Linked DNA regions of Arabidopsis thaliana. The main gene of each other region encodes a partner of the protein of the gene in region 3 in a complex. Each region holds a gene or a part of one and is shown on either strand. Other genes may lie near its edges. The genes, in order: AT3G24880, HAM1, AT1G02740 and AT3G24870.

Evidence for each region.
Region 1: AT1G02740 (region 3) and AT3G24880 share a complex: the UniProt entries of both Arabidopsis thaliana proteins name them as parts of the nuA4 histone acetyltransferase complex.
Region 2: AT1G02740 (region 3) and HAM1 share a complex: the UniProt entries of both Arabidopsis thaliana proteins name them as parts of the nuA4 histone acetyltransferase complex.
Region 4: AT1G02740 (region 3) and AT3G24870 share a complex: the UniProt entries of both Arabidopsis thaliana proteins name them as parts of the nuA4 histone acetyltransferase complex.

Annotation. Positions count from the first base shown.
Region 1 is NC_003074.8:9,092,022-9,098,040, reverse strand, and holds the start of AT3G24880 (Helicase/SANT-associated, DNA binding protein), read left to right. Parts: upstream 1-2,503; coding exon 2,504-2,643; intron 2,644-2,751; coding exon 2,752-2,806; intron 2,807-2,899; coding exon 2,900-2,997; intron 2,998-3,073; coding exon 3,074-4,436; intron 4,437-4,544; coding exon 4,545-4,664; intron 4,665-4,872; coding exon 4,873-5,076; intron 5,077-5,424; coding exon 5,425-5,613; intron 5,614-5,709; coding exon 5,710-5,790; intron 5,791-5,906; coding exon 5,907-5,964; intron 5,965-6,019. UniProt on the Arabidopsis thaliana protein: Component of the NuA4 histone acetyltransferase complex which is involved in transcriptional activation of selected genes principally by acetylation of nucleosomal histone H4 and H2A.
Region 2 is NC_003076.8:25,826,999-25,832,719, forward strand, and holds HAM1 (histone acetyltransferase of the MYST family 1), read right to left. Parts: upstream 3,672-5,721; 5' UTR 3,506-3,671; coding exon 3,199-3,505; intron 3,061-3,198; coding exon 2,972-3,060; intron 2,890-2,971; coding exon 2,830-2,889; intron 2,735-2,829; coding exon 2,525-2,734; intron 2,391-2,524; coding exon 2,322-2,390; intron 2,197-2,321; coding exon 2,035-2,196; intron 1,942-2,034; coding exon 1,848-1,941; intron 1,767-1,847; coding exon 1,624-1,766; intron 1,539-1,623; coding exon 1,335-1,538; 3' UTR 1,162-1,334; downstream 1-1,161. Other genes in the region: AT5G64600 (O-fucosyltransferase family protein), read left to right, coding at 29-242, 327-511, 604-699, 798-933; C/VIF2 (cell wall / vacuolar inhibitor of fructosidase 2), read left to right, coding at 4,877-5,419. UniProt on the Arabidopsis thaliana protein: Histone acetyltransferase which may be involved in transcriptional activation. Acetylates 'Lys-5' of histone H4 (H4K5ac). Essential for gametophyte development. Involved in DNA repair after UV-B exposure.
Region 3 is NC_003070.9:598,497-604,652, forward strand, and holds AT1G02740 (MRG family protein), read right to left. Parts: upstream 3,704-6,156; 5' UTR 3,526-3,703; coding exon 3,316-3,525; intron 3,211-3,315; coding exon 3,157-3,210; intron 3,065-3,156; coding exon 3,051-3,064; intron 2,877-3,050; coding exon 2,731-2,876; intron 2,481-2,730; coding exon 2,440-2,480; intron 2,330-2,439; coding exon 2,225-2,329; intron 2,018-2,224; coding exon 1,938-2,017; intron 1,739-1,937; coding exon 1,569-1,738; intron 1,481-1,568; coding exon 1,396-1,480; intron 1,317-1,395; coding exon 1,238-1,316; 3' UTR 834-1,237; downstream 1-833. Other genes in the region: AT1G02750 (Drought-responsive family protein), read left to right, coding at 4,177-4,258, 4,484-4,629, 5,105-5,182, 5,279-5,638. UniProt on the Arabidopsis thaliana protein: Chromatin remodeling factor. Acts as a 'reader' protein by binding to H3K4me3 and H3K36me3 to control histone H4 acetylation. Increases the transcriptional levels of the flowering time genes FLC and FT.
Region 4 is NC_003074.8:9,081,740-9,087,716, forward strand, and holds the start of AT3G24870 (Helicase/SANT-associated, DNA binding protein), read right to left. Parts: upstream 3,681-5,977; 5' UTR 3,281-3,680; intron 2,580-3,280; 5' UTR 2,540-2,579; coding exon 2,400-2,539; intron 2,292-2,399; coding exon 2,237-2,291; intron 2,184-2,236; coding exon of another isoform or gene 2,144-2,183; coding exon 2,046-2,143; intron 1,970-2,045; coding exon 607-1,969; intron 499-606; coding exon 379-498; intron 171-378; coding exon 1-170. Other genes in the region: AT3G24880 (Helicase/SANT-associated, DNA binding protein), read right to left, coding at 4,718-5,977. UniProt on the Arabidopsis thaliana protein: Component of the NuA4 histone acetyltransferase complex which is involved in transcriptional activation of selected genes principally by acetylation of nucleosomal histone H4 and H2A.

The DNA.
Region 1 (6,019 bases), on a different chromosome or scaffold from region 3:
ACTAAATACGAAAAAGAAACTGTATAGTATTGCTCATATATCACCTAAGTTCAAATACAAGAGGCAAAGCAAGCTAAAGACATAACTACATTCAACAGTTTCACTTCCGTTTAAGCAAAGACTCAAGTCAATTACAATTGCCTTCTAAATTCTCACAAACAAGCCAATAATACATAAGCTGAATGGAATCAGAACACCAAGAAACATATATCATGATAAATCCAAACGAGAGATACATCAATAAGTAAAATAAGAAAAGTCTCATCAATCAATGGAAACCTTAACAGAAGAAGAACCAAGTCATAAATATACAAATGAATGAGCAAATGAGCAAAGAGATCCAGTGAAATCAATTGCAACACGAACACGAATATACATCTAAGTCTACCACATAGATCGAAACTAGGCTTTCAAGAGGGCGAAATCGAAACTCATATATACGAAAAACCAGGAAAAAAGAGAACATGTTCGGTTTGAGAAGGGAGAAGGGAGACTCACTGAAGCCATTTTCGACATTTGTTGTAGGAAAATTGGTATCGGAGAAGGAAGCTTCTTCTGGCAACACTGTGCAGTGACGGCAGTAAAATTCCCTTTTTGCAGAAGGCAAAAAAAATTACTTCTTTTTTTCCAACTCGAAATTTTTACTTTGGCTGTAAATAGTAAAATTGTTTTTGAGGAATTTAAAATGGTTACATCATTTACATGTTGAGGTATACTTGAGGAATTTGTGAGGAATTGTTCATGTTTAAGAGTTTTATTTTTGTTTTTAAGTTGTTTCATAAATTAATAAAATTATTATTCTTAGAACTAAACAACGCAATAGGCTGCACAAAAAGAAAAGAATCTATTGTCATGTCCATGGAAAATATGAGAGAAGACTTCCACTAGAAGTTGTTAGTAAGGAAAATTCTAAACAGAAAAAAATAGTTTAAATTTTATTTTAAAAGTAAAAATTAGTAGTTTATTTTATTAGTTTATGCGTTTATATAATATTTCTATTTGATAAAAAATAAGATTAAATGTATTACATTCTTAATATTTTGTAATTTGTAACTTTTTACAAATTAAGTTACTATCTTATGTTTAATAAAATTATTAAATTATAGAAAATTTCAAGTTTAATATTTTTTCATATGTTTTATTTGGTATTAGTCTCTTAGATTTCTAAACCCGAACCCAAAAAACCCGGACTCGATCCGAATTGCCTATGGACAACGTGGGACAAATATAGTTTTACAAAACCAGCGACATGCCTGAGATTTGTAGAGATCCATGTCACACAACATGAAACTGTTATAACTTTATTACTACAAAAAGGCCCGAAACAAGACCAAGCAAACAAAAAGAAAGGCCTTGTTTGGTCAAAATCTCAGGCCCAGAATTCGGAGAGAGAGAGAGAGAGTCGCATACTGCGTCGAGGAGAGAGAGAGAGAGAGAAAGAACGAAAAAAAAACATCAACGAGAACTCAATTTTTTTTTTTATCTCCCGAGAGGGAAACCAAAATTGAAAACGAAAAATAGCTGAATTAGGAATCAATCTCGCAACAAGCAAGCAATTTCCATGGATTCCTTGTTTTGGGAGGAGCTTCTTCTCTTCTACTCTCTGAGAAATTGATTCTCGTCTTTCGATTTGAAAGAAAAGCTTATAAGAATTTGGAAGCCCTAGGAGAGAGAAACTAATTTTAGAATTTGGTGATTTTGCCCGAGTTTTGTGCCCTAGCTTTTTGCCTTCGTTCTGTTCTGTTCTACGTTCAATTTCCAGGTTTAACTCTCTTCTCCTTCACTCTTCTATTCAAACCCTAGAGTCCAGCTTTGCTGGAGCTTCTGTGATTTTGAACCCAGTGCTTCTTTTATCAGGAATGTGAATTGTTTGCTGAAATTGTGTCTCTGTAGTTCTTTGTTTCTACTCGTTTAGCTTGGAAATGCTCAATACTTGATTCAAGAGTTCGTAGGCACGCCATTAAGTAGCTTAAGCTGATCATTTTCTAACTTTGGTTCCTAGTAATCGTTGTTAGTGTTGGATTAAGCTTCTAGAACCTCTCTGCCTTGAGGCAACATTTCATTTCTTTGGTATCTTAGAGTTCTATTCTATCTCTGTTATGCTGGAATACGTAGTTGTGAGCTTCTCGGGGATCAGAATGGTATTGGCGTTAGATATATAGAATTCTCAGTCAAATACTAGATTCTGGGGAGTTATCTTCACTTTGATGTTCCTTTGGATAGTGGCTAGAGTATATGAGTGAATGTTGTTTTACTTTTGACATCTTCTGAGCAGTTACATCTTGAATCTGATAAGCTACTCTATTATATGATATCATATGGTACTGCTTTTTGCATCATGAGAACATACATTTTACCAGTGTTATTTGTAGGTCCAACATTTAGGTGTAACTGATTCTAACTTCTGCAGTATGATCATTCGGAATGCTGTAAATACTGAAAGCTCTTGATATAATTTTTCAGTTAAGCTAGAATTCGAATTGATGGGGTATTCGACGTGGTGATGCATGGAAGCGTTTCAGGATATCTTCTAGTAAATGCTGAGGTTGATTCCATGGGAGGAGTTATCGATAGTGGAGGTGGTATTGGTGTTAAAACATCTCCGCGCCGAACAGCTATTGAGAAGGCTCAAGCGGAGCTAAGGTATTTCAGATTGAGACATCTTGATCTTCTGCAGTGTGTTTAAATGCTCTATAATTTCTACAGCTTTCTATTATTTCCAATGTGTAACAAAGATGCTTATTTCAACAGGCAAGAGTATGATGTTCGTGAGGAAAGGAGGAGAGAATTGGAGTTTCTAGAGAAAGTATGAATACCTATTTCCCTGTTCTATAATTGTTTTGTGTGTGTGTGTGTAAGAACTTATGATGACAAGCCTTTACTCTTCTATCTGCTTCAGGGCGGTAATCCCTTGGATTTCAAGTTTGGTATTGCAACTTCACATAGCGTCCAATCTACATCACTCACAGATCAGCAAGCAGAGCATTTTGTAAACAGGTACATTCGTGTTTGGTGTAGTTCCCACATTAATTTCATGGAATAACTCATCATTATTTGCCCATAACCCCCACAGTGAAGTCAAAGATAGTTTTGCCCTGACTGCCTCACCACATGGTGACTCGGTGGAGAGTAGCGGTAGACCTGGAGTTCCTACAATTTCTGAACCCAATACAGCAGATAATCTTTTACTGTTTGATTCTGAAAACAAGTCAGTTGAAGGGGAAAGAAATTTGAGACATCCTAATAGGCAAAACAGAACTTCTGAGTCAGAACGATCTTCCAAAGCACACACCAACCAGAATACCAAAGAAACAGAAGATTCTGCCATCTTTCGCCCGTATGCTCGGAGGAACAGATCGAAGATAAGTCGGGATCCAGCACGGTCAAGCTCTACGGATTTAGTTCAGAATCGTGGTGGTCTTGCAACGTCTATATCTATTCGCAGAGGATCAGTGGAAGGAAAGGGTTGCATTCCCGAAGCAGCCAATCAAAAGGATATGCATACAACTTCTGTATCTTGTCCAGTATTTGCAAATTCAAATGGTAATATCGTTCCGAAAAATAGAGTTTCCAGCAATTCGCTGAATACTAAGGTGGATGGTGAACCTGTTGTACGAGAGAGTACTGCTGGATCCAAGACTAGTCTATTGAAAGATGAAGCCGACATTTCGTATAGTAAAAGCTCTGCATATTTGCCAGTTGGAGAGTCTGGCCTTGCTGGGGAGAAGGCACAACTAGTTTCGACTGGTGGTTCTCCCAAAGCTGCAACAATAGCTGGCCAGAAAAATAGTTCTACCCAACTGAATGGCCTAAGAGATTCCACGGTAGAGGAAGAAAGCTTAACAAATAGAGGAGCTACAGGGACTAATGGGTTAGAGTCAGAGTCTTCTCATGCGAACAACGTAGAAGTAAATGTAGATAATGAAAGAGATCTTTATAAAGTGGACAAACTTGACTCTGATGAAATCTCTATGCAGAAGACTTTGAGAGTAGAGGGGTTACTAGATCAAACAGTTGGTGAAATGACCAAAACTAAGATTGAAGATGAGACAGGTCAATCTACCACCATTATCAGTGAGTGCATTCCTGAATGTGAAATGCAGATGAAATCGGTTAAAATTGAAAATCAAAGTCACAGAAGTACAGCTGAGATGCAAACTAAGGAGAAAAGTTCCGAGACTGAGAAAAGGCTTCAAGATGGGTTGGTTGTACTCGAAAATGACAGTAAAGTTGGTAGTATTTTATCTGAAAATCCTAGCAGCACGTTGTGCTCTGGAATTCCTCAGGCATCTGTAGACACAAGTTCTTGCACAGTTGGCAATAGTTTATTGTCAGGAACTGACATTGAAGCATTAAAACATCAGCCGAGCTCAGATGCAGTTATGTTAGATACTGTCAAGGAGGACGCTATTCTTGAGGAGGCCCGGATTATACAGGTTTTCTTTTTAATCTTGACTTGATGATTTTTAGCTATCTAGTTTTCGTAGAAGTTATGATGTTATGTACCTACTCATCTTTTTATGTATGACATAATACATTAACAGGCAAAGAAAAAAAGAATTGCCGAATTATCTTGTGGTACTGCACCAGTGGAGGTCCGTGAGAAATCTCAATGGGATTTTGTCCTCGAAGAAATGGCATGGCTGGCAAATGATTTTGCGCAGGTCTGGTCTAGTTAAATTATCTTTCTAACATAAATTCTATATATCTGCATGGAAAATGCTGCATTTTGTGGATTTTTGTTCTGTTTATTTACTACGGCGTCTGGTCATTCGTCTTCTTAAATGAGCTTGTCCACTTTTATGTTACTGGAACATTTTTCCGTGACTGTTCTAATTGCATTCTGTTACCTTTTTTCTTTTCATCTTCTAGGAGCGCCTTTGGAAAATGACTGCTGCCGCACAAATTTGCCATCGAGTTGCTTTGACTTGTCAGTTGAGATTTGAGGAACGAAATCAGCACAGAAAGCTGAAAAAAATAGCTTCAGTCCTATCTAATGCTATCTTACAATTCTGGAGTTCTGTGGAGGCCGAGGTTCCTGGGGAGCTGGAGGAGACGAGCTTGGGAATTGTTAAGGTATTTGACTGTCTGACCTCTTTTATGGTTTTTGATGACAATGATGATCATATGGTTCTTTCCTTTTCTTTTAAATTAGAATTATGCATATATATATACATTCGTTGAATTAAAGTATTGACAACACTGACATTCTGAGAAACCATATTATTATGTTTGTGACTAGACTGCAAAACAACACAATTCTACTGATATTTCCTTCTTATGATTGAGAAGCCTGATCTTTCTTATTTGCTTGAATTGTCTTTGATAATTACCTACAGGAGTCTCTGGTTCTGTCGCTCCTTATGTTATGATTTTTGTAAAATTTAATGGTATCATACTAAATAATACCTTGGTTGTATGCAGGAGACTTGCCAAGAATCTAATTGTTTGAATGGCAGAAGATGTTTAGCTGCGGGTGTCAAGGAATATGCAAGTAGATTTTTGAAGTACAACAACTCTTCCATCTCCTATCATTCAGCTGCACCGTCAACACCTGACAATATGTGCGACCCAGAAATATTGGATATATCTATGGTTGATCAGCTTACAGAAGTATGAATTTCTGAAAAGATTTTCCGCAGCCTCAGTTGAACACTATTGTTGTGGATAGTTCTACATTATTGCTAATTGAGCTTTATTACTGTGCAGGCAAGCCTCTTTTATTCAGTTCCATCTGGTGCAATGGAGGTGTACCTTAAGTCCATTGAGTCGCATCTTACACGTTGTGAGGTATGTGAGATTGTTCTATGCTAGGAGCTCGCATATTGTAACCTTGATGGCGTATATTTTCCTGAGAATATATATCTGTTCTCCAAAGATATTTAACAGTATTTCTCTGTTCCCAGAAGTCTGGAAGTAGCATGCAGGAGGAGGTTGATACATCAGCCTATGATACTGCTGGAGGTATGCACAATTCTGGGTTGTTTGAGCTTCGCGGGTTGGTTAAATTTTTGCTAAT
Region 2 (5,721 bases), on a different chromosome or scaffold from region 3:
AGCTCAATATGTTATCTGTTGGTCACAGGGAAAGTACAAGCCATTGGAAGATCAAAAGTATAAATTCAACAGAGCAGAGAGAGGAAGGCCTTTGTCCATTGACTCCAAAAGAAGTGGGAATATTTCTGAAAGGTCTCGGATATTCTCAGTCAACAGTCATATATATTGCAGCAGGGGAAATCTATGGGGGTGATGATAGACTCTCTGAGCTTAAGTCGCGCTTCCCAAATCTGGTTTTTAAGGTCTGTTCAACCACCTCTAATCTTTCATGTTACTGACAATCTAAAGATGATAAATGTTTATGTTTCATGTACTGGATTTTGTAGGAAACGCTTGCTGGGAACGAAGAGTTAAAAGGTTTCACTGGCCATGCGACTAAAACGGCTGCTCTTGATTACATAATTTCTGTTGAGAGTGATGTGTTTGTTCCTTCACATTCTGGAAACATGGCAAGAGCAGTTGAAGGTCACCGCAGATTTCTAGGGCATCGCAGGACTATCACTCCCGACAGGTTCTATCTCCTTCCTTCTGTTACCTTAAAAAAAAGCATTAATCTTTTAGTCATTTTGTTATAGGCCATGACAAGTTTGGTGTTGTATGCAGGAAAGGACTAGTGAAACTCTTCGTTAAGATGGAGAGAGGACAGCTAAAAGAAGGACCAAAGTTGTCCAATTTTGTGAATCAAATGCATAAAGACAGGTAGCAAAAGAGTCATACGTTTGCTTCTTAAACAATAAACCTATAAAAAAAAGCACATCTTTGATGCGAGAAGAGGATTTGTTTGATCGGTTTTGCAGACAAGGTGCACCGAGGAGAAGGAAAGGACCAACGCAGGGGATCAAAGGACGTGCACGGTTTAGAACTGAAGAAGCCTTTTATGAGAATCCATATCCAGAGTGTATTTGCAGTTCAAAGGAGCACAAAGAACCCTAACTAAAATTTTCCAAACTTTTTTTGTTCTGTATCATTACATCTCATTTATAGTCATCTTAATTATAGTTTTCACATATCCCTTGATATCTTTTCTGTTTTTGATATCCGGAGATCTCTAGCCGAAGTAGAAAGCCAGAAATTTTTAACATTTAGTTATAAAACTTCTCTTTCGGCATTTTTTCAAATATTCCAAATTTTAACCAAACTGTTGTCAATCAGAATGGAACAAGAATGAAACACCAAAGTTACTACTGATCGTTTTACCATCCAGACAAAAGATTCCTACAGTTACAAGATCTATTGAACAGAGTGCGTGTTAAATTGTTACAGACAAAAGTCATCTAAGGATATGCAGATTAAAAGTAGACCATAACCATAACTATTTGAAGTGTAATGCCCTCTTAGCTCTGCTCTTTGTAAGGAGTCCATATCATTTTGCTCACATCCACATCAAGACCACCTCGGCCTGCCGCTTTCAAGTGTCGGTCCAGTACCTTAGGATCCGCGCAGATTACGTGTTGTCCTTTCCTGTATTGTATCAGTTCCAAGCTCTGCAGGGTGCTTAATATATCTTCTGCTTTAATCGCTGTCATGTCGCTCAGCTCCTACATTTAAAAAAGTTGAATATATGAATTATTCTGTTGACAGATAGGCTAAAAAGGATCATTACGGATATATAGATATACATACCTTGATAGATATGTTTCCCTTGTGCTTTTTCAAAATGTCTAATAAAATCCGAGTCCAGTAACCTCTGTAACTCACTAACCCTAGATCAGAGAGCGGCCTTTCCGGTGTCCCGACTTTGCCCTCTTTCTTTGAGAGTTCATAGGCTATAACACAATATAACGTGTAAGCTTTATAGAGAGAGGTGAGAACAAATAAGAAGAGTTGAATGAAAAACAAAAACTCACAGAAGGCTATTAAGAATTTGCCATAGCCCTTCCTTTGATATGGAGGAAGTGTAAGGATGCAAGCCAAGTTGTAAGCTTCTTCTGAGTGTTTTTCCTGTACCAACAGAAATTGCATTTTTTTCATCAGACAATCAAATTGAAACAGAACATGTATATAACAGACCCAAGAGCCAAAGTGTGCTGATACCTTTGAAAAGTATCCAACCATGTGGCATCCACGATCATCACATTCACAGAGAATATAGAACAGGAACAAATCAACGTCATAGTAAAGAGTTTTGTGGTCAAGAAATAACTTTGCCAGATAACAGAGGTTCTGTGCATAGACCTTATTCTTCTTGCCATCCACCTGTAAGATATTACAAATAAACTCCCAGGTCGTGAAAATTCAATTCTAAATACATTTATTAGCTTCCAAACAAGTATCGTAAGCCTAAAGCAAACAGTTTAAGGATGAAAACATCAATCTATTACCTCAAACATTGACAAAGTAGAGCTTCGATAGATTTCATCCCCAGGGGGGTGCTTCAAATCGCATTTCCTCTGCATAGATAAAAGACGATTGAGCAAAACTTAAGTAAAAAGAATGACCCATAAAAGGTATGTGTGAAACTAAAAATAACTGTAAAGACAAAACAATTAAAATGCTACAAATGATAAAAAAAACAGTTGCTCACCATATGTCTTTGAAGCTGCTCTTTGCGCTTCATAAAACTGAGGCAAAACTCACAGAAAAAGAGCTTCACGCAGTCATTGTATTCTGGAGGAAAAGGAGAGAAGTACCACGTCTCAATCTCATACTTCCCAAGCTCAATCGTAGCTATGTTCTTCACTTTCGTGAACTCCTCGTGTTCACGCAAACTGGCAGCATCCAGCTCTTCATGACCCTATACAAAATATCGAAAAACATCAGAATATATAGCATGCCACACAGTTCACTAAAACCACAACAAAGTTTAACTAACTTAACCAATCACTTTACCTCTACATGAGTCTCATCAATCTTCCGTTTCTGGTGTCGTGTCATCTTCAAGCTAGTCACCTATTACCACAAACAAACTTCTATGTTTCAGTGCAAACTACGGAGAGGAAAGCTCAAGACTTTGAAGAAAAATGGCTAATACCTTGTCTTCAACTTTTTCATCTAAAGCACACTCTACTGAATCAAGGTCAAGCTGTTCAAGCTTAATCCATTCATCCAATCTTCTATTAACTGCAGTTTCACAAGAGTTGTGATACTCAAAACAACTTGAATTGCAAAGCCCTCTAATTCAATTCTTCGAAATTTCAGCTCCAATCTATAAACCCTAGATTCACAAATTTCAGATAGAGAAAGGAGGAAACGACATACACTCTGTGTAATGAACGTAGTACTCGTAATCATTGTGACCACCATTATAATTCTTTCGGCGCTCGATAACCTTCACCGGATGGTATTTTCCGTCTCTCCATTGACACATCACGCGAGTACCAACCTCGAGCGGAAGCACCCCCATTCTTCTCTTCTTCGAAGCATCCGATTCTGAATTCGTGAGAGCGAGTATCGCACCAGAAGTATGATTCTGATTCGCATCTCCGCCGTTGGTTGCCGGATTATTATGGTTCGACGCCGGTGTGGCGATTATCATCGCCGTCTCTGTATCCGCAGACGATCCCATTTCTTTAGTCGGGTCGGAGATTTTTTCCGGGTGGATTCTTTTCTCATACGGATAAAGAACATCATTTGGAAGGAGTGTGGCCCAATAACAACTTTGAATGCTCAATTGGGCCTATCTTTATAATTGGCCTGTACTATATGTCTCTCTTACCGTCCTTTTTTTTTGGGTGCAAAAAATCTCTTACCGTCGTTAATACACGTTTTATAACTGTTGGCTTATGTTTAGTTTTATAATCGCCAGGTTACATTTAAAGAATGATTAGTAGGAGCAAACAATTTATAAAAACTAAAGAGATAATGAGAGATAAATAATAAGTGACAGAGTCAGTATTTTGTCGTGAATGGGAAACAGCCAAACAAGGCTTTATGATTCGTACTAATCACAAGATTCACAGATCAAAAAATCACAAAGTTCCAAGAAGCAAAGACGAAAAACACAACTCATCATCGTGTCCTTGAAGTTATGGTCATAGATTCGCACACCATGTTCCTCTAGATTAACCAAAATGATTTTTTATGAACAAAAAAGATTCACATGGTCACTTTACTGTATCTTGTATGTGAAATTTTACATCTCATTTTTCTTAAAGAATGTTTTACTTTTACATACTATCAATTTACTTTTATTTTTCGGTTATGAATTGAAGTGGATGACTTACTTACTTTTGAAATTCGAATGAAGAAAAATAGAATTGATTCCTATTTCAGTTGTTCACATGTAAACACGTTATATACTTATATGGCAACTTGACTAAAGGGAAAATTTAAATAAAATGATTTAATTTGGTGACATATATTCATCTTTCTAATTTTTGTAGCTACTACACACCGTGTATCCTTTTTCATAATAATGATGTGAAATTGTATAATTGTAAGAAAAAATGAGAAAAGAGTGACGAAATCTTTAAAACAGACAGAATTTTTTTGGTTGAGCAAACAAAACTTAGTTATCAAATTTTGGAAATAACGTGTTGAAGTGGCTGATTCTTTTACCTACAATGATTGATTCATCGACAAATATCTTGTTCGTATATCATCAATTCTAAATTCTTCAAAAATAAAGTAAAGATACTCAAATGTAATGAAATGACGAAGCTGGAAAAACGTATTTTAATTTAATTCATTATTTGACCAACAATTTGCATCATGTGAATTTAAATCTTGATAGGTCAATATTAGTATAAACTACCACACTACATGCGAAAATCATTCCTCATTTAGTGCAATTACAAATGATAAACGGAAACGTTATCATTTGTATTTATTTTGTAAAATATGTAATTCAAGAAACTGCTCAGAATATAAAGACAAGAATCCTCTTTCTTCCATCTCTATCTCTCCGTAAACAGTTGCTCAAAACCTTCTTCCTGAAATGGCTTCTTCTCTCATCTTCCTCCTCCTCGTTACCCTAACCTTTTCAGCATCAACCCTAATCTCAGCCAAATCCAACACAACAACAATAATCGAATCAACTTGCAAAACCACAAACTACTACAAATTCTGCGTCTCAGCTCTCAAATCCGACCCAAGAAGTCCCACAGCCGACACAAAAGGTCTCGCCTCCATTATGGTCGGCGTTGGTATGACAAACGCCACCTCCACCGCAAATTACATCGCTGGAAACCTATCCGCCACCGTAAAAGACACCGTTCTCAAAAAGGTCTTACAAGATTGCTCCGAGAAGTATGCTCTCGCCGCTGATTCTCTCCGGCTGACGATTCAAGATCTTGATGATGAAGCTTATGACTATGCCTCCATGCATGTGTTGGCGGCGCAGGATTATCCTAATGTTTGCCGGAATATTTTTAGGCGGGTTAAAGGGTTGGCTTATCCGGTGGAGATTCGCCGGCGTGAAGCTAGTCTGAGACGTATTTGTGGTGTTGTCTCCGGGATTCTTGATCGCCTTGTTGAATGATTTACATTTGCATTAACTACTTTCGTAAAATCTCTATTTAAATTATCGTATTTCATGAATTTAATATGACCGTTACTTTATTACTTTCGTCTTTGCTACAACTTTCAAATTGCCAAGAAGAACAATCTTTAGAGATCACCTGAATATTTGGAATTTAATATTTCTCAATCAATTGACTAATCATACCAAAAATTTTAAGTGACGAAGATTTGGGGGAAAAGGCTTCTTAAGAAATGGGAAGTACTAGAGATATTTGTATATTCGTTATATATCTTTAGGTAACTTTTTGCTTTATCTGTATG
Region 3 (6,156 bases):
ACCACAAAAATCACGAGAGAAAAAAATCAAAGATTTAGAAGGAAAAGAGTAGTTCTCAAACTTGAAAATCAGAAACTCAGAAGAAGAGAGATTTTGAATCTAAGGAAGAAGAAGAAGAAGCTGAAGCAGCTAGTACGAAGCAGAAGAGCATTATAATTTTCGAAATTCAGAGAGAGAGAGATATAGAGATTATAAAGGAGAAAGGTATTGCTATAAACGGTCGATAGATCTAAACCGTTCATTTTATTCACGTTGCTTCATGTGAGATCGGACGGTGATTATCGAATCCAAACGGTAAGTTTGAAAAGATTACGTGGGACCAGGTCGATCTATAAAGAAGAAAAGTCAAATAAACGGAAAATAATAAAAGAGAAAGAGTGTGTGTATCTCTCTCCCTTTCCGTAACGGTCAAATAAATTTATATTGGAGAAGCTGTTTAAAAATAGTAATATGCTTTTTTCTCATCCCATGTGGTTTGATAATTTTGAACTCATTGGTATACAATTTTTGCATATTATCATCAAATGATGTATAGAGTAGCTGATAAAAATATTATTTGCTCATCATCCCATGGGGTTTGATGATTTTGAACTCATTGTCGTTGGTATACATTTGAATAGTATTATTTTGATATACTACTCGAGTAGATCATTATTCCTTCTGATGCACTGGTAATTTTATATACTAATCTGCCCATTAAACATATAGTTCTGTACTCATAAAACTCAAAAGATTTTGAACACATACTATTATAATATGTTTTCATTCGTATATTCAAAAGATCAACTATGTAGCATATTTACAAATCAAGAGAAGTTACTATGATCATTAATAATTGAAAAGGGAGAAGAGATAATTAAAAATGACTAAAGTTATTTTAAAAATAAATTCTTACTAATACAGTGGAATTTAAAACGCCGAGACAAACACGATAACGACGTTTAAGTACTTTCAAAATCGAGACGGAACATAGTATAATAGTTCTTAGATCATCATTATTGATGATCTCTTAAAACAATTCTTATGCTAAGAGACATGTTTTATAACTAACAAAATTTCTTATATAAGAGACTTTAAGTCACTTTTGTTAATTATAAGACATATCTCTTAACATAAGAGTTATGTTAAGAGACCATCAATAAGGATGGTCAGGATGGTCTTAGGTCTCGTTACAAAATACTACAAAGAGAAGATTCGCTGCACATACTTACAAGAACACGTCATTAGGCACAATTTCCTAACCTTCTTTCTTCTCCATTTCTTCCACTGCTTTGTATGTCGATACAAAAAGCACACTCTGATTCTTCCTCAAGAACCTGCTTTATCATTTTGTTTTTGTTATTTGTCTTTAAATACTTGTAAAAAGAGTTAAGTAGGAGAACAAGAAGAAGAAACCTGAGAATATCAACAAAGTTGTCCTGCAATTCCTTCAATGTCTCTTCTGCCATATTCACATGTACTAGCAACTCCGGTAATTTCACTGCAAAACTCAATATTTATATAGTCTTATCTTGACAACTAAACCACATGATAAAGGCAGATTTGCAGATTACAAAAACTGGCCTTACCAAAGAGTCGCAACAAATGCTCTGCTCCGTACACAGTTGAAGGAGAAACACCCCCTGATACGGATTCCTCGTACTGCTTCCGTTCATTGTTGTAAAGCAACATCACCGGTAAAGCTTTGTCAAAGTAGCAACGCAAGCCTTTCAGAATTTCCTCTAATGAATCTGTTACCCTATATAGATTCACCAAAGAAAGTACTAGATATATCAGAAGCTTGGAATACGCTTTATCTGTCAACCAAATTATCCATGGAGCATATACAAATGATTTATACTCTCTTTAAGTATATGAGAATAGCAACAAAAGAGATTAACAAGTGTAACTGTTGGAAACTGACAGCAGAAAGAAACTATAATCCACAAAGAGCTTACCTGCCATGTTTCTTCATTTGGCTGTCAATGTACTTCTTCAAGATGCCATCCACATTTGGAGAACGCGGAAGTTGCACAAGCTGCTCAGACAATTCCCAAAAATGACTTAAAATAAATTCCTTAACATATGCACCTAAATATGACATTCACAACAAATATATTCATGCGACTACAAGAATATTTTTTCTCTGACTAAATGAATCAAAAGACTATGGTCAACTGCGTCAAAACACACAGAAAAGACCGTTTGAGAATTGAGAGAAGAAATAACAGGCTGATAGAAATACCTTCTGCATCTGAGTAACAAATTCAAAATCGTCAAGAAGTTGCTTCCTTAATGCTGGTGGAATATTGAAACTTAAAAGGTTGTCAGAGGGAAGCACATTCTTCTCCTGTATTCAGCAAACAACAAGACATGAGTAAGACTCCCCTGATTAAAAAAATCCCTGGATATTTGGAAGCTGAAAGATTAAGCAAATACATCCACTAAAGGAGCGATTACCGTATCAACAGAATCTTGCTTCCGCTTTCTTCCTCTAGCAACTGCAAAAATTAAGAAAATATTGAACAAAATCTCAGCTGACACAATATCTCAACTGACACAATATCTCAACTAACAACGAAAGATGTGTATGTATACTTTAATCTCAACAACTTCTACTTAGTCGACATAGAATAAAGCAAGCAAGACCAAATGAGAGTCCCTGATAGAGACTCTGAATATCCACAAAAGCAGCAAGATATCCATCGAGACAAGAATATGCAAAACAAACAAAAGAAGAAGCTGACTGACCATTAGGGCTTCTAGGTTTCATCTTTGACACTTTCCAAGCCATAGCACTCTTAATCCCTTGCTGTTTCAAACCCTGTTCTTTCTGTTTCTCAATATTCTCATCTGAATGTTTCAACAGACAGTCCAGCCTTATCCATTCGTCCCAACTATCATTGTATAGAAGAGATACAAGAGTCAAAGACTTTTTTACATTATCAAAAAACTGAGACTTGGCAAACAAATCAGTAAATCACCATATGAAGAATTCTCTTATTTATAAATAGTTTCAAATGATTTCAAACCGATTAGAAGCCAGTAACTATATTGGATGAAGCTCTAACCTTTTGTTCCAACCCTGCCAAAAGAAATCATTTACATCTTCAAAACTAAAGATAGAAGCAAAATAGCTCAAAAGAATGATTTTAAACATATACAGTATCTACTTACAATGTAATGCACAAAATATTTCCATTCATTGTCTTTAAATTCAACTTTAAGAACCTGAGAATATTATTATAAAAAAAAAAAAGGAAACGATCAGAGACATAAAGCATAAGCAGAGAAGAACACTCTAATTCAAGAATACAGAGAGTGTATTTCACTAACCTTGGCTTCGTAGAAGCAATCACTGTGTTTGGCTAAAACTCTCTCTCCTTCTTCGAAGTGGCCGGGAGGAGCAGGTAGCAGAAGAAGAGGCAAATCTTCTCCGTCACAATCGGTGTTGGTCTCTGTATCAGAACCAGAGTCCCGTCGTGTGTCTCCGATGAAATCATCGGTTGTTAGATCCGTCTCGGCGGCGGCGTTAGGGCTTCCCATCTCAAAAAGAGGAGGAGAAGAAAAGAGTAAAGAGAGCTTAAGAGCCCTTTCGTCTTCTTCCACGGCTCGTCTCACGTCGAAGCGACAAAGGTAAATGACAAAAAAAAAAACTCACTCAAAGTTGTTGAATCTCAACGCGATTTTGTCTGAAAATTTCCGGGAAAATTGGGATTTTCCGTCTATCAGAATCTAAAAATTCTCAGATTTTAACATGGGCTTTTATTATTAGGCCTACAAGCCCATTTAAATAATTTCAAAATCTTGACTTCAAGCCCATTTATATCATTTCAAAATCTTGACTTTAAGCCCATTTATATAATTTCAAGTCAGGCCTTTACTGATAATTAACTTGGGGAGCAATGCAATAACAGTAACATCCTTACAAGAAAAGGACAAAAACACCCCTGAGTTAGCTGAGAAAAAGGCTCAGTGCAATGTAAGGGTATAATAGTAGTTCACTCTTACCACCCGAAGTATTCTTGTCCATTAAGACTCGGCGGATTAAAAAAAGGTTTGGCCTTTCCGTGGAGTAGTTTCTTGACATTTTCTTTCTGCTATCTCTTACACAATTGGGTATTTAGCTGACACGACGAAGAAGGTCTCTCATCAATTATCTGAGATTTTTACATAAGAAAGGCTCCGACAAAGCAGATGGAAGACGATATGTGGTGCGTTAGCTCATCTGGTTCTTCTAGAAGCTATCGATCGGAAACTGCTGCTAAGTATCAATCAGGTTTATTATCCAAATCCCCTCAATTTTTCTTTCAAACTTCATTTTTAGGGTTTATGATTGAAGATTGGTCTTAATTGGGTTTCGATTGAGTTGAGTTCTGTTTTGATGACTTTTTGTAGTTGGTCGTTTAAGTTAAAAATTGTAGCTTTACGTTTTGCTTTTTAGATGAGAGAAGACTTTTTTTTTCTCTTTTGCTCTCGAGTTAATTAGTGGTGAATATTTCAGGGCCTTATCAAGATTTGGAAGAGTTTGAAGAAGTTGACGACGATATAGCAGTGGAGTATCCATGCCCGTTTTGCGCAAGTGATTATGATTTAGTTGAATTGTGTCACCATATCGACGAAGAACATCGTCATGAAGCTAACAATGGGGTTTGTGAATTCACTTCCTATCTCTCCTGCTCTTTTCATTTCACACTCAAGCTTCACATGAAGCAGTTTTACACAGCTTAGTTATTCGGATTGTGGGAAACATAACTTCAATCTATAATTTTGATTAGGATTTGTTTTAGATTGATGCGTTTGAGAATCTGATTGCTATTGCAAATAGTTTTAATAGAGAAACATGCCACTCTTATCTTAAGTTACTCTTTGGGTTTTACATAACTCTCCATTGATCAGTTTAAGGTTTTAGGATATTAATACTTTTGACACTTTTTTTGGCTTTACATACTTGCTATAGAGAGTAGGTGACTTGAGCTCTCTGTTTTGAAGCATAGATTGGTTTTACGAGCTAAAGAAATGAATATATAAGTAGTATGATGGAACATTATTAATCTGGTTCCGTGAATTGTCATGTGGTAGCATCATCTTACAATTCGTTTTGGTTGTTTTGTGGTTTTTGTAGATATGTCCTGTATGTAGCAAAAGGGTGAAGATGCATATGGTGGATCATATAACATCACATCATAGAGATGTCTTGAAGATATCCTTTTTTGTTTCTTTTCAAAACCTTTCAAGTCAAATTTCCGTCGCTATAATGAATGTGATTTATTTGAAATTCCTTGACCGATAATTTTACAGTGAGCAGAAGGAAATGTCTTACAGGGAAGATCCATATTTATCTGATAAATATCTTCAACCTCATCTTGATGAGTTGCCACCATCTATGAATCATCATCAGCATCCCTCTAAACATGTTTCCGATCAATTTTTATCGTTCATCAACAATTCTGCATTACCAAATCAGACCAAGCTTGTGCTGCCTGATTCAAGTGTAGAAGACAAGAATCCGATTAAGGATTCGTCAGCAGCAAAAGAGGGTACATCGTCGTGTCCTTTATCGGATAGTGATAAATTGGAGAAGGCAAAGAAGTGTGAGTTTGTACAGGGACTGTTGTCATCAGCCATGTTTGATGATGAATGTGACTCTTCTGAGTAAAATAAAGATGTGAAGTCGCCAATGGGAAAGGCAGGTGATTGTCATTGTTGTAATTTTATTCAGCTCTATTTATATATATGCATCTTTTTTACAGACATAACACTAGCTTTAGCCTTATAATATAAGCTGATGAGTTTTCAGTTTGTTTCTTCACAAGAATCTTTTGTCGCAGAGCACCGTCCTTGCAAATTTCTTTCCTGCATCTAGTTAAAATTGGGATGTGTTTTTTTTATATGAGTATAACAATAGTGTGAATATAGTCAACAAGCCCGTCTAGCTCAGTTGGTAGAGCGCAAGGCTCTTAACCTTGTGGTCGTGGGTTCGAGCCCCACGGTGGGCGATGCAACTTTTTGAAAGCATGCTGTTTTAACACGCTAACGAACCCAGTTACTACAACGTTGTTTAACTTCCCACTGCTTTATATAACGAACCTCAGAATTTTGTCCGTATAAGTGTTCTCTGTTCGTAACTGCAAATCCAATTCGAGAGCATCCAACATTTCAAAAATTGACTTCATA
Region 4 (5,977 bases), on a different chromosome or scaffold from region 3:
CCAGGAACCTCGGCCTCCACAGAACTCCAGAATTGTAAAATAGCATAAGATAGGACTGAAGCTATTTTTTTCAGCTTTCTGTGCTGATTTCGTTCCTCAAATCTCAACTGACAAGTCAAAGCAACTCGATGGCAAATTTGTGTGGCAGCAGTCATTTTCCAAAGGCGCTCCTAGAAGATGAAAAGAAAAAAGGTAACAGAATGCAATTAGAACAGTCACGGAAAAATGTTCCAGTAACATAAAAGTGGACAAGCTCATTTAAGAAGACGAATGACCAGACGCCGTAGTAAATAAACAGAACAAAAATCCACAAAATGCAGCATTTTCCATGCAGATATATAGAATTTATGTTAGAAAGATAATTTAACTAGACCAGACCTGCGCAAAATCATTTGCCAGCCATGCCATTTCTTCGAGGACAAAATCCCATTGAGATTTCTCACGGACCTCCACTGGTGCAGTACCACAAGATAATTCGGCAATTCTTTTTTTCTTTGCCTGTTAATGTATTATGTCATACATAAAAAGATGAGTAGGTACATAACATCATAACTTCTACGAAAACTAGATAGCTAAAAATCATCAAGTCAAGATTAAAAAGAAAACCTGTATAATCCGGGCCTCCTCAAGAATAGCGTCCTCCTTGACAGTATCTAACATAACTGCATCTGAGCTCGGCTGATGTTTTAATGCTTCAATGTCAGTTCCTGACAATAAACTATTGCCAACTGTGCAAGAACTTGTGTCTACAGATGCCTGAGGAATTCCAGAGCACAACGTGCTGCTAGGATTTTCAGATAAAATACTACCAACTTTACTGTCATTTTCGAGTACAACCAACCCATCTTGAAGCCTTTTCTCAGTCTCGGAACTTTTCTCCTTAGTTTGCATCTCAGCTGTACTTCTGTGACTTTGATTTTCAATTTTAACCGATTTCATCTGCATTTCACATTCAGGAATGCACTCACTGATAATGGTGGTAGATTGACCTGTCTCATCTTCAATCTTAGTTTTGGTCATTTCACCAACTGTTTGATCTAGTAACCCCTCTACTCTCAAAGTCTTCTGCATAGAGATTTCATCAGAGTCAAGTTTGTCCACTTTATAAAGATCTCTTTCATTATCTACATTTACTTCTACGTTGTTCGCATGAGAAGACTCTGACTCTAACCCATTAGTCCCTGTAGCTCCTCTATTTGTTAAGCTTTCTTCCTCTACCGTGGAATCTCTTAGGCCATTCAGTTGGGTAGAACTATTTTTCTGGCCAGCTATTGTTGCAGCTTTGGGAGAACCACCAGTCGAAACTAGTTGTGCCTTCTCCCCAGCAAGGCCAGACTCTCCAACTGGCAAATATGCAGAGCTTTTACTATACGAAATGTCGGCTTCATCTTTCAATAGACTAGTCTTGGATCCAGCAGTACTCTCTCGTACAACAGGTTCACCATCCACCTTAGTATTCAGCGAATTGCTGGAAACTCTATTTTTCGGAACGATATTACCATTTGAATTTGCAAATACTGGACAAGATACAGAAGTTGTATGCATATCCTTTTGATTGGCTGCTTCGGGAATGCAACCCTTTCCTTCCACTGATCCTCTGCGAATAGATATAGACGTTGCAAGACCACCACGATTCTGAACTAAATCCGTAGAGCTTGACCGTGCTGGATCCCGACTTATCTTCGATCTGTTCCTCCGAGCATACGGGCGAAAGATGGCAGAATCTTCTGTTTCTTTGGTATTCTGGTTGGTGTGTGCTTTGGAAGATCGTTCTGACTCAGAAGTTCTGTTTTGCCTATTAGGATGTCTCAAATTTCTTTCCCCTTCAACTGACTTGTTTTCAGAATCAAACAGTAAAAGATTATCTGCTGTATTGGGTTCAGAAATTGTAGGAACTCCAGGTCTACCGCTACTCTCCACCGAGTCACCATGTGGTGAGGCAGTCAGGGCAAAACTATCTTTGACTTCACTGTGGGGGTTATGGGCAAATAATGATGAGTTATTCCATGAAATTAATGTGGGAACTACACCAAACACGAATGTACCTGTTTACAAAATGCTCTGCTTGCTGATCTGTGAGTGATGTAGATTGGACGCTATGTGAAGTTGCAATACCAAACTTGAAATCCAAGGGATTACCGCCCTGAAGCAGATAGAAGAGTAAAGGCTTGTCATCATAAGTTCTTACACACACACACACAAAACAATTATAGAACAGGGAAATAGGTATTCATACTTTCTCTAGAAACTCCAATTCTCTCCTCCTTTCCTCACGAACATCATACTCTTGCCTGTTGAAATAAGCATCTTTGTTACACATTGGAAATAATAGAAAGCTGTAGAAATTATAGAGCATTTAAACACACTGCAGAAGATCAAGATGTCTCAATCTGAAATACCTTAGCTCCGCTTGAGCCTTCTCAATAGCTGTTCGGCGCGGAGATGTTTTAACACCAATACCACCTCCACTATCGATAACTCCTCCCATGGAATCAACCTCAGCATTTACTAGAAGATATCCTGAAACGCTTCCATGCATCACCACGTCGAATACCCCATCAATTCGAATTCTAGCTTAACTGAAAAATTATATCAAGAGCTTTCAGTATTTACAGCATTCCGAATGATCATACTGCAGAAGTTAGAATCAGTTACACCTAAATGTTGGACCTACAAATAACACTGGTAAAATGTATGTTCTCATGATGCAAAAAGCAGTACCATATGATATCATATAATAGAGTAGCTTATCAGATTCAAGATGTAACTGCTCAGAAGATGTCAAAAGTAAAACAACATTCACTCATATACTCTAGCCACTATCCAAAGGAACATCAAAGTGAAGATAACTCCCCAGAATCTAGTATTTGACTGAGAATTCTATATATCTAACGCCAATACCATTCTGATCCCCGAGAAGCTCACAACTACGTATTCCAGCATAACAGAGATAGAATAGAACTCTAAGATACCAAAGAAATGAAATGTTGCCTCAAGGCAGAGAGGTTCTAGAAGCTTAATCCAACACTAACAACGATTACTAGGAACCAAAGTTAGAAAATGATCAGCTTAAGCTACTTAATGGCGTGCCTACGAACTCTTGAATCAAGTATTGAGCATTTCCAAGCTAAACGAGTAGAAACAAAGAACTACAGAGACACAATTTCAGCAAACAATTCACATTCCTGATAAAAGAAGCACTGGGTTCAAAATCACAGAAGCTCCAGCAAAGCTGGACTCTAGGGTTTGAATAGAAGAGTGAAGGAGAAGAGAGTTAAACCTGGAAATTGAACGTAGAACAGAACAGAACGAAGGCAAAAAGCTAGGGCACAAAACTCGGGCAAAATCACCAAATTCTAAAATTAGTTTCTCTCTCCTAGGGCTTCCAAATTCTTATAAGCTTTTCTTTCAAATCGAAAGACGAGAATCAATTTCTCAGAGAGTAGAAGAGAAGAAGCTCCTCCCAAAACAAGGAATCCATGGAAATTGCTTGCTTGTTGCGAGATTGATTCCTAATTCAGCTATTTTTCGTTTTCAATTTTGGTTTCCCTCTCGGGAGATAAAAAAAAAAATTGAGTTCTCGTTGATGTTTTTTTTTCGTTCTTTCTCTCTCTCTCTCTCTCCTCGACGCAGTATGCGACTCTCTCTCTCTCTCTCCGAATTCTGGGCCTGAGATTTTGACCAAACAAGGCCTTTCTTTTTGTTTGCTTGGTCTTGTTTCGGGCCTTTTTGTAGTAATAAAGTTATAACAGTTTCATGTTGTGTGACATGGATCTCTACAAATCTCAGGCATGTCGCTGGTTTTGTAAAACTATATTTGTCCCACGTTGTCCATAGGCAATTCGGATCGAGTCCGGGTCGGAGTTTTCGGTTTCGGGTTTAGAAATCTAGGACGCATTCGGGTATATTAAAATTTGGGTTTAGATCGGATGTGGATCAGATATTTTGGGTTCGGATTCGGGTTTATCCGAAGTATCCAAAAAATCTAAAATTTGATTCAGAGTTCTCAAACTCAGCTTCTTCAATTTATCAACAATGCTTTTGATTCTTTCTAACGTAGAGATTTAGTCATTGTTGCTTTTAGATTTGTAACATAGGTAACGGATTTGAAGAAATGCACTATGTAAGCTAATGTTTATGGGAGTGAAGTGAACTTTTTTTTTAACCATAAAAGAACAATGATACATTCATCAAATTAACCTAAACCTACAAGAGAATAAGTTAGAGGAAAAGGTTAAAAAAGGGCCCTAAGTATATGCCACAAGGATGGAGGAGTAGAGACTTCTATACAAAACATTATAAACTGTTTCTACTCTCTCCCAAACCAAAAGATGGGAAGAAGAAGAGACTACTTCTCTATGATGCAAGTGGGTAATTTACATTATGATATACCTTCTTCTCTTTGTGTTCATCAAAAGAGGCAAAAAGACCTGCATGAATTTTATCCTATCCACCAACTTCTTCCCTATTGATCTCCCTCTGGCCTTACCAAATCTGCAAACTCCACAATCTGTAGAGTTTGTTATGTTATACTCTCAGCCAAATCCAAAGACCACCAGCAGCTTCAAGATGTTAATGCCAAAAAGAGACCCGACTCTGAAGGTGGAGGACACAAACCAGTTTGGGTTCCTGTACAGGGTTGTTGTCGGTAAGGGCCAGCGTTAAGCTTTGCAGGATCTACAGCTACTCAAGGTTCTAGGTTCATCTGTCATGCCTCTCATTCCACTTTTGTATCAGGAGGCTTGGAAGATGATAATTCTTGTGCTTCTTCTAAATGAGGCTGCTCCTCAGAAGCAAGGTGTTTCTGATTTTGTACAGTCGGCTTCTCTGGCAATTTCGGTCTCTTTTCTTCTGAAGGTAGAGACTGTTGTTGTCTCTGTGTAACGCCCTTGATCCCGTGCTTTTGAGCTAGTCCTTGGTTCGGTGTTGATACTGGATCATTTCCTGCTGAATCTGTATTGGAACTGTTTACTACTTTCGAAGCAGTGATTTGCACAGAAGCAACACAAGATGGAGGTTCCAAAGCAGGCACCGCAGTAGAACCAACTGCTTTTATGTTTTTCAAATCATTACTCGCTTGAGGCATACCCTTGGTCGTACCCATACTAACAGTTTGGGTAGTATTGGTTACAGACTGTGGAACACGTGGCATGCGTTCAGCTTGGGACTTCTTTGATAACTCAGAGTTCCCTAGATGATTATGTTGAACAACTCGCTGAGCTGTTGATTGCACTTGATTGCGCTGCTTTTGGTGTATCAACAAATGCTGATGGTTAGAAGGTGCAACCGCTGGTGCAATTGACGGGCTAGAGGTGGATAAAATATTACATGGGGTCGCAGGTGAGCTCTGGCCTTGGATGCTATTGTCTGAATGTAATTGCATCTGTTGTTGAGGGGATGGAGGCAAAGCACCAGGGAATGATTTTGGCAGTTGCTGTGAATGATTTGAAGACAAGGGAGAAACAAATGGTTTAGACTGCAGATTCGTGCTCGTGGTAGTCCCCACACTAGACTGCTGATCAGGCCTAACTGGAACCGCTATCTCTCCTTTTTCAGTAGCCTGGTTTCCTTGGGGCATGGTAAGGCCATTCAGGTGTGACTGATCAACAGTGATGTTCTGATGGATCATGTTGCCTCTACCCATCCCCTTCAGTTGTTTATTCAGCTGTTGACCTTGTGTTGGCTGCCGCTGGTGTGGATGCTGTCTTGCAGACTGCTGAAGTTGTCGCTGCCTTTGTTTTCCAGCTTGATTGTTCACTCCAGAAGTACCAGACTGAGGACTCCTACCCAAACCATGAAGCGCCAACTGAGATTTTTGAGGTTTCTGTTGTGCCATAGCATTAATATTAGGAGAGGGCGACACCGGGGGCATGGATAATGGCTGGGGCGAAACAGGTGGTTGAGTCTGAGGACTGTTTTGTGGAGAAGAAGAAACAGAAGAGCCCTGAGGTTGTTGTACATGTGGCATCATAGAACC